2 linked regions of the Sus scrofa genome follow. The protein of the gene in region 1 interacts with the protein of each later gene in a pairwise test. Links are inferred from orthologs where the notes say so. Each region holds a gene or a part of one and is shown in the gene's direction. Other genes may lie near its edges.

What was found. The genes of interacting proteins can lie anywhere in the genome.
Region 2: the proteins of CCDC155 (region 1) and BET1 interact in binary tests that used the Homo sapiens proteins (3 or more experiments, as listed by UniProt). The two-hybrid records come from large-scale screens. The link is inferred for Sus scrofa from reciprocal best matches to the Homo sapiens genes KASH5 and BET1.

The regions. Positions count from the first base shown.
Region 1 is NC_010448.4:54,496,823-54,502,084, forward strand, and holds the end of CCDC155 (protein KASH5), read left to right. Parts: intron 1-1,738; coding exon 1,739-1,784; intron 1,785-3,553; coding exon 3,554-3,618; intron 3,619-3,694; coding exon 3,695-3,823; intron 3,824-3,920; coding exon 3,921-4,065; 3' UTR 4,066-4,277; downstream 4,278-5,262. UniProt on the Homo sapiens protein: As a component of the LINC (LInker of Nucleoskeleton and Cytoskeleton) complex, involved in the connection between the nuclear lamina and the cytoskeleton.
Region 2 is NC_010451.4:73,789,179-73,795,232, reverse strand, and holds the start of BET1 (BET1 homolog), read left to right. Parts: upstream 1-2,579; 5' UTR 2,580-2,749; coding exon 2,750-2,768; intron 2,769-6,054. UniProt on the Homo sapiens protein: Required for vesicular transport from the ER to the Golgi complex. Functions as a SNARE involved in the docking process of ER-derived vesicles with the cis-Golgi membrane.

The DNA.
Region 1 (5,262 bases):
CGGAAGAGCCCTGAAGGAGCAGTGGGTCACTCCTGCCCTCGTTCCTTCATGCTGCGGCGACCCTGGGCCCGTGGACTGGGTTGAGTCAGACCCAGTCCTGCCCTCAGCACCTTCCGTCTGTGGAGGAGACAGCCCCTGACCCAGACGGTTCTGGGAGGACACCCAGAGGGGGTGGCTTTGCGGGAGGCCCTGCTTGGGGTCCAGCAGGGCTGGCATTCATGTAGGAGACCCTTACACAAGAATACAGCTGTCAGGCAAGGGGGACAGCTCAGGCACTCAGTCCCGGTCACTGAACGCACCCCTCCCACGGCTTCCTGGGATGAATGAGGCTCAGATTGTGCCCCAGGAGAGCAACCAGACAATTGGGAGACGTCAGGGGCTCTGGAATCAGACAGCCTGGGTTCAGATCCCAGCTTGGCTGCTTGGTGATGGGATGGGGTGAGCCTCTGCCCGGTGAGACCGTTAGAGGCTCACGTGCAACCTCTGAGGACAGAGAAAGCGCTAGATATCCGGTTGCCCCTCCTCCTCGGGGCCTCTGCCTTCCTGTGGTGCCTCTTCCACCCCCCCCCAACCCGCCCCCCTCCCCCGGCCTCCCTCAGGCTCCCAGCTTCGGCCACTAATGAGGCTGCTGCCTCGGCCTCTAATTGGACTTGTCTGGGAAAGCTGAGATCTGGCAGGATGGGGGCCCCAGAGCTGTGACCTCTGCTTGCGTCACCAGGGAAAGGGAGGAAGATGGGGCTGAGCTGCGGGGACAGAAGCTGGTGTGGGGGCTGGACATTTGGATTTTGGGGAGAGGGATGCTGGGGCAGCATGAGCTACAGATTGGGAAGCTGGGAGTGAGGGAAGTGGTGAATTTTGTGTCCCCTGGAGGTGACCAGGGATGAGGGCTTGGACCTTGAGAGGGACCGGGGGTCCTGAGTAGAAGTCCCAAAGGATCAGACAGCCGTGTGTCTGACTGGGGCAGAGGCTGGGGGCCCAGGAGCCAAGCTGCCTTCCTGAGCAGTAACTGAGGGGACAGCTGTATCCCAAGGGTGCTGGGTCTGCAGCTGGTGGCCGAGGCTGGAGGGCTGGATCCTTGCTCCCCAGTGAAGGTGCCAGTGGATGATGTGGACAGCAGAGTCTCCAAGGGGCTCTGGGGCTGGGCAGCTTGAGGCCTGAGTCCCCACGGAGGCCTTTCAGGTGCTCAGTCAGCTGTGACCGTAGGAGGCACGGAGGGTGGGGGCTGGCACCTCAGAGAAATGATTTGGGGTGGGTGTAGGGCTCACACAGTTGGATGCTGGGCTCGGGGAAGTCTGAGCTGGAGTTCCAGGCCTCAGAGAAGAGTTTCAGTGAGACTCAGTGAAAATGGCCAACCCACCAGACAGGAAGTTGGGGCAGTGGGTGTGTCTCGGGTCCGAGTCTCCAGTGTTTAAAGTGTGAGATAACAGAAGCCTCAGTTCCCAGTTGGGAGATCAGCTGGGAAAGTAGCAGCTGAAAAAGCCAGTGAGGTGAAGAGGCCCCTGATCCTTTTCAGGAGTCACAGACTCTTTGGAGAATTTGGTGAAAATTCCCCTGAAAAATACAGACACTGACGTACACACACCAGTTTGCTCATGGGGGTCCAGAGTACCCTCCAGGCCCATCCCTGGTGCCCCTCCACCTCCAGGCCCCTGCTTTAAAGATTCCACCACACGGCAGGCAAAAGGGAGCCAGGCAGGGATGACAGATGTTTTCAGTGACTTTCTTGTCACCACCCCAGGTTGCCCAGAAGAGAGGAAGAAGAGGAAGCGGAGAGCCAGGTGACGGTAGGCAGTCCCCAGCACCATCCACTCCAGGCCCTCAGACGAGGCTGCTGTAGTCACAGCTCCTCCCCAGCCCCCACCCACACCCCCATTCCACCCACCAGACAGAAAAATCGTTTAGCCAAGAGATAACAATGCCCTCTTGGTAGCTAATGAGAGCAGACGATGCTGTAGAGGGAGGCTGCAGCCAGTGGGCGGCCAGAATGTTCCCAAGGGACCCCCCCCTCCCCCTCCGCCACCAGCTCACACTCAGGGCTGCAGCCACCATGCCATAGGCCTCACAGGCATGCTACACCCCCAGGTTGCAAAAACGCACATGCACCCTGCACAGGAAGGGCCGGACCCTCCCCACCAGCCCCAGAACTCCCTTGGGGCACCACGCCTGTCACAGCTGCCCTGCCCGACACCACACACACTGGCACCACATACCCAGGCTCCTTTGCTCCTCAAATTTGCAGGCAACAATCCCGATTCTCAGGCAAGGGATGGGAGGGAAGGAAATTTGGTGAGGCCAGAAGCCTGTGGTCCTCAGATAAGGAACGTGAGAGCCCAGGAGTTCCCGTTGTGGCTCAGTGGTTAGTGAGCCTGACTAGCATTCATAAGGACACAAGTTCGATCCCTGGCCTTGCTCAGTGGGTTAAGGATCCGGCGTTGCCTTGAGCTGTGGTGTAGGTCGCAGATACAGCTTGGATCCCGTGTTGCTGTGGCTGTGGTGTAGGCCGGCGGCTACAACGCTGATTGGATCCCTAGCCTGGGAACCTCCATATGCTGAGGGTGTGGCCCTAAAAAGACAAAAAAAGAGAAAGAAAGAAAGAAAAACATGAGAGCCCAAAGGTGTGCCAGCCTCCATTCCAGGCACCCGGGACCCTTCAAGGTATGCCCAGGAGAGCACCCAGATAATCGGGAGACTAGGGTCCAAACCATCCGAGATGGTCTCTCTGGGCAGCCTGACCCCAAAGCCCACCTCTTTCCCACCACAGCATGCTCCCGTCCCTGGAGGCTGGGGCCCCACCTCACTTTCCTCATGGCTGGTGTGATTTTGATCTGTAGTCAGCTGTCAGAGTCGCAACACATCACAAGGGCCAGCCTGGCCAGAGCAGAGGCAGGGTAGGCAACAACAGCGAGGAGAGGGGCTCGGACTGGTGTTGCTGGAACTCTACCCTTCTAAATCTATTGCTATTGCCATAATCATTGTCCACAGAGCAAAGCCCCTGGAGGAATATTTGGGGCTTTAACCTTAAATCACCTGCTGGACCTGGCACAGGGCAGTGCAATGGGCTTGTGGAGGGCCCATGCTGGACCAGGCCCAGCCCAGGCCTGGGCTCCTGGAGAAGATAGGGGCTCTGCCCTCAGGGGCTTGGATACTTCCAGAATCAGATAGAAAATGGAAATAATAATACTGAGGAGCTCACGCAGTTATCGAGGGCTCACTGTTTGTCAGGCACTGTTCTGAGCCCACCTCCTCATACTTTGGTTTTTCCTGCATTTACTCATTCATTCCCCACTTCAGGCCTGTGTGGTGAGTGCCTTCTCATCCCTGTCTGGCAGATGGGAAAATGGGGCCTGGAGAGGTGGGGTGACACGCCAAGGGATGCACAGCAGGCAGCTGGCAGAGCGGGGAGCCCAGCGCTGTAGTAAGCTCAGAGAAGCTTAGGCGCTGAATCTCTGTGTTCCACCCCTTCTGTGTGGTCACTTCTGTCTCCTGGGCTGAACTGAGCACCTCTCCCAGTCCAGGACCCAGTGCCTCAGCTTTGTCTCCTTTTTCCTCCAAGGTGGATCTACCCATCCCTCTGGGAGACTCAGACCCTGCAGACATCCCAGGAACCCCTCCTGAGAGGTAGTGGAACCCAAGGGCCCGGGAGGGGACCTGGGGGCACCAGTGCCACTGCCCTGCCTTCCTTTCTCGCCAACAGCCCCTCAGAGCCAGAGCCGCAGCTAGCCCTGGTGCCGGTGGTGAGGGAGCTGGTCCCAGTCAGGAGGCCCATCTGGAGCCAGCTCTGCCTGTGCCCCTTGCACTCCCAGCATCTCAGGTGTACCCCAAGGTATCTGCAGAAGGAGGGTGGTGGTCAGGCATCAGGGCATTGCTGGGACACCGTGGGCTCCCCTGGACACCCCCCCAAGCACTGTCCTGCCCCCCAGCAGGGTCACTCGGCACCCACTTATCCCAGCACCAGTCCTGGGCCTGCTGCTGCTGCTGCTGCTCTCGGTCCTGCTGCTGGGCCAGTCTCCGCCCCCCACCTGGCCCCACCTCCAGCTCTGCTACCTCCAGCCTCCTCCAGTGTGAGCCGTGCTCCCCACCGCCTCAGAGCAAAGTCTGGTTCAATGAATTTCCCAGAGCTCTTGTTACTGTTATTCCCATGGTTGTGCCACTGTGACTTGGGATTACCCATTGCTAGGACCCCAGACACTGTGCTCCAGAATCCACACCCCTGTATTGTTTTTCGGGTTTTTTTTTTTTTTTATGTGAAGTCTCTTGTTTGTTTGGGTTTTTTCCCCTCTGCGGGGGGGGGGGGGGGCGCACACCCATACATAGCATGTGGATGTTCCCAGGCCAGAGACTGAACCTGCGCCACAGCAGTGATGCAAGCCCCTGCAGTGACAATGGTGGATCCTTAAGCCACTGTGCCACAGAGAACTCTCAGTCTCTTGGCTTTTTAACACTGGCAACTACATTTCTTAACAATAGCAAAACGCCCAATAATGGATTAAGCACTAGGGGTTTTATTTTCCTCATAAAACAAGTCTGGAGGAGGGCAGCTGCGGGCCCACAGCTCAGAGTTTCCACAGCACCGGGGCCAGCAGGCTGTGAATTCTCTGTGATTCTCTTGGCCCCTTTCTTGTGCTCAGGAGATGGTGGGTATTTTAGCTTCATATGTCATATGTGCAGAGAGAAGGGGACACATCCCTTCCTTTTTATAAAGAAAAGCACTAGGCTTCCAAGAGCCCGCAAGAGACTGTCTCACTAGCCAGAACTGTTTGGCATGACCACCGCTTGCTACAAGGGCAGCTGGAGACCAAGCACCTCTTCTGGAAGAAAAAGAGAGAGATTTGGACCAGTCACACACCACAGATTGTCGCTGCAGTGCCAACGGCCAGCAGAAAAGGTCTGCCTTTTGTTCATTCAACAAACACTTAGTGATCATCTATTTGCCACAGCTAGACCTTACAAGATAGAAAAATAGACCCTCCAATGCCAGGCTGAGAAGCATTTTTCTCCCAAGGATGATGAGAGTTTTGGGATGTTTATTACTTGGTTTTGGTTATTTGTAATTGAGGTGTAATTTGCATACAGTGATAAACAGACAAACCTTAAGTATCAGCTGGATAAATTAATTCATGAAAACACCCAAGAAACCAAAATCCAGGTCAAGATGTAGAACAGTTTCAGCAGAGGCTTCCTTGGGAGAGTTTTGAGCAAGGGAGGGACAGTCGTAGAGGTAGCTGCAGGCTCTGTGGGAGCTCAGAAAAAGCACCTAACCTA
Region 2 (6,054 bases), on another chromosome or scaffold:
TCCCCTGCTTTTCTGAATGAGGAGTTTTGCATTTTCATTTTGCATAGGGTCCCAGAGATCATGCTGGCGGCTATGCTGGGTGGTTTTCAGTTGGAATTGTGTGTCTCACTTATATTCCTGAATTACGGAAAGGGAAGGTCAAATGGGTGGCTCTTTGAAAACTCTGAATATTTTCTCAAACAAGAATGACCAAAATACTTTCAAAAATTGTTTCTTTTTTAATGATTTTTTTTTTTTTTTTGGCTGCACCATGGCATGCGAAAGTTCCCATGCCAGGGATTGAACCCAAGCCACAGCAGTAACCAGAACCACAGCAGTGACAATGTTGGATCCTTGACCCTTTGGCCACCATGGAACTCCTAATGATCTTATTTTACCATGAGGATTACAATTTTTTTTCTACTAGTTTTCATTGAAAATATATAGTATTTCAGCTGTACTATGGGTTACACAGATTTTGGCTAACATAGGAACCATAATAGCCATGCTATTGGGCTGGGTTGGGAACCTTATCATCCATCATTTCTGCCTCCAAGAGAAATACATTTAAGTGCCAAATAACTGGCTTAAAAACTAAGTTTTGTTCCAAAGCCTCTTTGTAAGTTAAGAGCTATTGAATTTTAGCTAACATTTTCTTAAAGTTCAAATATGATGCTTGATATAATGAATTTGCTTCATGATTGGAACATTTTTAATGTTGATGTAGCTACTTTTGAGAGCTTGGTGTGCTATTTCCCTTGGATTAGCCCTGGAATTTGGTCTGGAGGAGGAAGGCCACAGGGGCAGGAAACAGACAATAGGAAAAAAGAAAGTTTCAAATTTCCCACCAAGATTCAGACATTTCCTGCTCATATTCTTGTTTCTATAGTTACTATAATAGTAGTAAGGATCAGTCATTATTAGTCATTCATTTCCTATAGACCCCAAAGATTAGATGTTTTCTATGAAATTATCTTATGAGAAGAGAATAAAGTTCTAAATACTGTATTAAATCTATTTTTTCCACCTCATCTTTTGAACACAAAATCTCAAATGAGTTCATCGTAACTGGCCAACAGAAGCAATAAGCAACTATTTGGATTTCTAGGTCACAAGCTCAATAGAAACCAGCTTTACCTGTCTTGAGTTAAATTCTTGGTACCCCTTATTACTTTATATTTTCTTCTTTCATATTTTATTATTATGTCTCCCTATAATGTAAAGGAAGCATTATCCCCTTTATAAGAGGATAAGTACATATGTAATTTAAATAATCTGTTTTGGTAAGCTTAACATCAGATTTAAAAATTTTTACATTACCACAAGAAATCTTTTTAAGATGATTTTTCTGACATGCTTTGGTTATAGAACACATGCACTTCTTAGAAAAAAAAGGGACTGTCACAGATATTAAGTTAAAATGCCATTTCTCTTATTGAACCTTCAGTGTTTATTTGCAATAACTGTCTCTGATTCCCCTGTTTTTAGAAAATGGTTGTTTATTTTTATGAAGACTGTTTTTCTCTCAAAACGCTATTGGATTAATCTTATTTCCCATGTTAGTAACTTTTATTAAAAATTGGTTTTTGTGTGTTGTATTTTACAAAAACAACCTTGGGGCAGAGACTTACTCTACCATTACTACAGTCAATGTTCATATTGGGAAACTGTGGGGGGAGCACCAAATGATCAGCGATTATTGCATTCTCAAAAATCTCTAGTATGGAGAGTATCCCAACTGTCATACAGCAGCAACGACAAAACGGCTAGAATCCAGGGGTTTCTGATCAACTAATGCACATCAGATTTTTTTTTAAGTTATTTCAGTTAATCCTCACAATAATCCCCGTGAGATAAAATGAAAGTCTAGGACTAACCCCAATTCCAGAATGACTCTACCCTCACTAACAAGCTTTTAAACACTGGCACATTACCACGTGTAAACAATATTTCGGCATTCTTTGTGTAAGTTAAAAAGGACAAACAGTATTTTAGTATTCTTTGTTTAAGTTAAACAGTTCTAAAGGAAGTTTAGGGGCCTTCGGTCCCTTCAAAACTAATAGCCTCGGATCCTTCTAGCAATGTAACCAACCCAGTAACAGGGAACGGAGTCTTCAGTGCCTCAGAGGAAACCAGGCTACTTTCATTGCCTTCTTTAATCCGAGCAGCAGCCCTACTCCACGGTTTTCTCTACTGGGTGACCTGGAACAAGTCGGTTACCCTCTTCTTTCCCTTCTATGGGTCCCCACTTGTGTGTGAGTTAAGAAACTTGAATAAAGTTTTCTTTGACTTTACCTGAACTAACTCCAGGTGAGAGAAGTGAGAGGCTGAATCAGGAAAAAGAAGTCAACCATCCTCTCTTGGTCTGGGAAGGGTAGATGAACTCAGTTGAACAGCTGAGAGCCAGCGCCAGCCCAAGAGCTGAGCTCCAGGGTCCTGGTTGCAGAGTGGAAGTCGGGCCGCGCGCCCTTCTTACGCAAGCCCCGCCCGCTCCTCCACCCGGCTTCATCCTACGCTTCAGCCCGGCTTCTAGCCTCGGCGGCGAACTACATTTCCCAGAATGCCATTCAAGCCACCTCGCGAGGCCAATAAGTGCCTTGGGTGACGCCATCAGCCAGCGCGATGTTTAGACTCCACTGATGTCGTGGCGCTTTGGGGAAAGAAGTTGGTGTTTCGCCGGGCCCTGGTACTGAGGACGCTGTCCGGGTGGCCCCTAGCCTCTTCCTGCCCACCCCGTCGGCCCGCCTTTTCCCCCCGCTCCTCTGGCAGGATGAGGCGTGCAGGCCTGGGTAAGAAGAGGGCTGAGATTCGAAGTTCGGGGGCCGCAGAACTGGCGGTGCTGGGTGCCGGGACACGGGAGGAAGTCAGACCTGTCTCCTGTCACTGGAATCAGCCAGAAAGCAGGAGGTCTGGAGGGGTCTTTGGAGACGGTGCCAAGTGGAAACACACCGTTTTGTCCCAGATTCTGGGGGTCCTTAAGTTTGGTTCAGTCCCAAGTACTGGATGGTAAGTTTAGAGAGAGTAGTGGAGGGCTTGGGGTGAGGTATGCCCAGGTGTCAACTACTGAGTTTTTAGTGTTACTGCCTGAGCGTGATTATGGAAATTGCTGAGTTTCTCGAAATCTGTCTTCGGTTTCTTTTAGGGGGGCCTAATGTTAATTTCTTCAGAAGCGAAATTTGAGAAGTTAGTGTTGCATGCAAAGCACACCAATAATCATATTAGTCTGGTAACAGTGAGTTACAAAGGTAAAGGTGACATTACAACTGTTAAAGGCCATGATCTGGAACTTCAGGGTCAAAGGCCATTTAACCTAGAACATTTCTTATATAAGACTTGTTCACCTGTTAAGGCTGTAGAATGTGGTAATACTTGGTGACTTAGCATTTGTTCTTGACCTTTTGGCTTAGGAAGCAAGTTCATAAAGCAGCAGAAATAAGTTAGGTACAAGGACTTATAATGGGACTTATAACACACAGCCATTAAAACAGTATTTTCTGATTCCGAAGCTATTAAGAGATGACTGGGAAAAAAGAAAAGAGAAAAACCTTCTAAATCAGTGCACAGTATACCTGACAAAATATAGGAAATATTTTTTAAAAGATAATGTTACCTTTTTTAGTTCTTATAATAAGGTGGGAGGAAAAAGTTTTTCAAAAGTGCCAGGTATTTAAAGTTAGTGAAAGTTGCAGTAACTCTAGGCACATACATTGGTTAGTAAATTGTAGTATGAGAAACAGCTTTTGAAATATGTAGTCTGTATGAATGATGAATACTTGGATCATAGAAGAAAGTTAGCCAGGTACATTGTAGAGAAAAAAGATAACTCATTTTGAACAAGTTTAGTTTTATATACTTAAGTGTTTTTCCGTTTTATCATTACTGATTGTGTACTTGAGTAAGCTCTAGGTATACAGTCATTTGTAGTTCTGTTTGTGCTTCCAATCTAGCTGAAGAGTAGAAACATGTACAAAAATAAATTATAGTACAAGGTGGTAGCACTACAACCAAATATCAACTAAGTTCTAGAGATAGTGAATGCCTCATGGATTTCAGAGACAGAACATTTGGTACTTTGTGGAGACTTAGGAACTTGGACTAAAGCTGGAATAACAAAATGTAGGAAAGACAATTTCCAGTTGAAAGGGTGACACCCCCCAAAAAAAACAATTGTAGTACTACAATCTAAAACTGTGAATGATGTATTTACAGGATTTTGATTAGGCAGATTTGGTTGAAGTAGGAGACTTGGAACCAGAAACAGCCACATTGTAGAGACCTTTGAGTGCCAGGCCAGGGAGTTTGGATCTCATCACTAGGTTCTTTGGCCTCTTTGAATGTTTTTGTGCAGGAGTGTGCAATAATAAATTGTAGGAAAAGGACTTAAGAAGTTGTGGTTTGAAGTCCTGACTGTACATTAGAATCACCTGGAGAGCTTTTAAAGCATTGCTGCCTGGACCCCAGCCCAGCTTAATTAAATTAGAATCTCTATGATAGTGTGGGTATTTTTTTATTTTTTGTTTTTAAGCTCCCCTGTAGTTGAGGCAAGGTGGTTACTTAGGTGTCTATTGCTCTAATTTACATTGGTGTGATGTGACATAAAGTGACAAGAGTTGTTTTTTTTTTAATTATCAATGTGTATTGACCTGGAGCTTTAAACTTATGATCATGAATCTGATAGATATTCATGTGGAAAAGCTTCCACATTTCACATGACTCTAAATAATTTGGTTTGGTTATTGACAGAAACTATCCAGAAGTAGCATTTGTCTAATGGACAAAATCTGAGAATCATCTTTGGCATTCATTAGCTTTCCTACAACTTTTCATAGCAGTAAGTCACACAAAAAGAAGTGGCTAAATTTATCTATCTATCTACATATATATTTATGTAATATATATCTTTATATTATATAAGTATATAAAATATATCTGATTATATATATATATAGAAATGGGTGGATGATGATGTGAAGGGAAATTAATAGAAGAAATAAATGTGCATTTAAAGATTTCTAGGCAATAAGTAAAATGAGAATTTCACTTATAATAAATGGAACACTATGGAAGAACTCTAAAAATAAAATTAAGATAGGTAAAATTAATAATAAAGGAAATGAAACAACTAGCCATTAATTTAGAAATGAATTCCTTGGTAAGGTTGTCAAGTGATTAAATTCAACCAGTTAATAATGACTTATTGGGTCCATGTTATATCCAGAACTTTAGTCACATAAAATATAAGGACAATTTTCTTTTCTTTATGGATTTTGGTCCTAGAGTTTTTACAGAGTATCATTGATTAATAAGGTGATAATGCATCTTTTTTTTTAATGCCTTCACCTGGGGCATGTGGAAGTTCCCTGATCAGGGACTGATTTGGAGCTGCAGCTGCGATCTATGCCACAGCTGCAGCAATGCCAGATCCTTTAATCCATGGTGTAGGGGCATCAAATCCCTGCCTCTACAGCAACCAAGCCGCTGCAGTTGGATTCTTAACCCACTATGCCACAGCAGGAACTCCTGAGAATGCATTCTTAAATGATTAATTATTGAGGGGGGGGGGGAACATTATGTCTAGTTACCTGAGTCCTTAACTTTTGTAATAGCACACTTAGCTTTGTGGATAGTGTCAGTAGTTGAGGGAAAATTTGGAGAATGCAGCTCTTTCTCTTCAGGAATATACATGTTTAACATTTTGTCGTGGGTTTAGTGGTGGTGGAGACTGTTTGCTGCATGTAAAATACTCATTAGGTGCAGAGAATATAGAAGAGACACTACCTCTGTCCTCAAAGAAGCTTATGACTCCAGTGTTGATAAAGGCACATTCAAAGTTGAATAACAGTGAACTTGATGTCTGTTAATTAATTTATGCATTTACAAGTATTTATTGGGTGTTCCTTACTGTGTATGTATGTTTGTGAGGAGTAAATAGCCATGAGCCCAACAGATTTAGTTTCTGCCCTAGGAGTGCAGTCTGGAGTGTAATAATAGTTTTAGGTATAGTCAGAGCTATAAGAATTCAAGGGAGAGTGTTTTGCTTTTTAGAGAAAGTGAGATTTGTCCTGTACCTTGAAG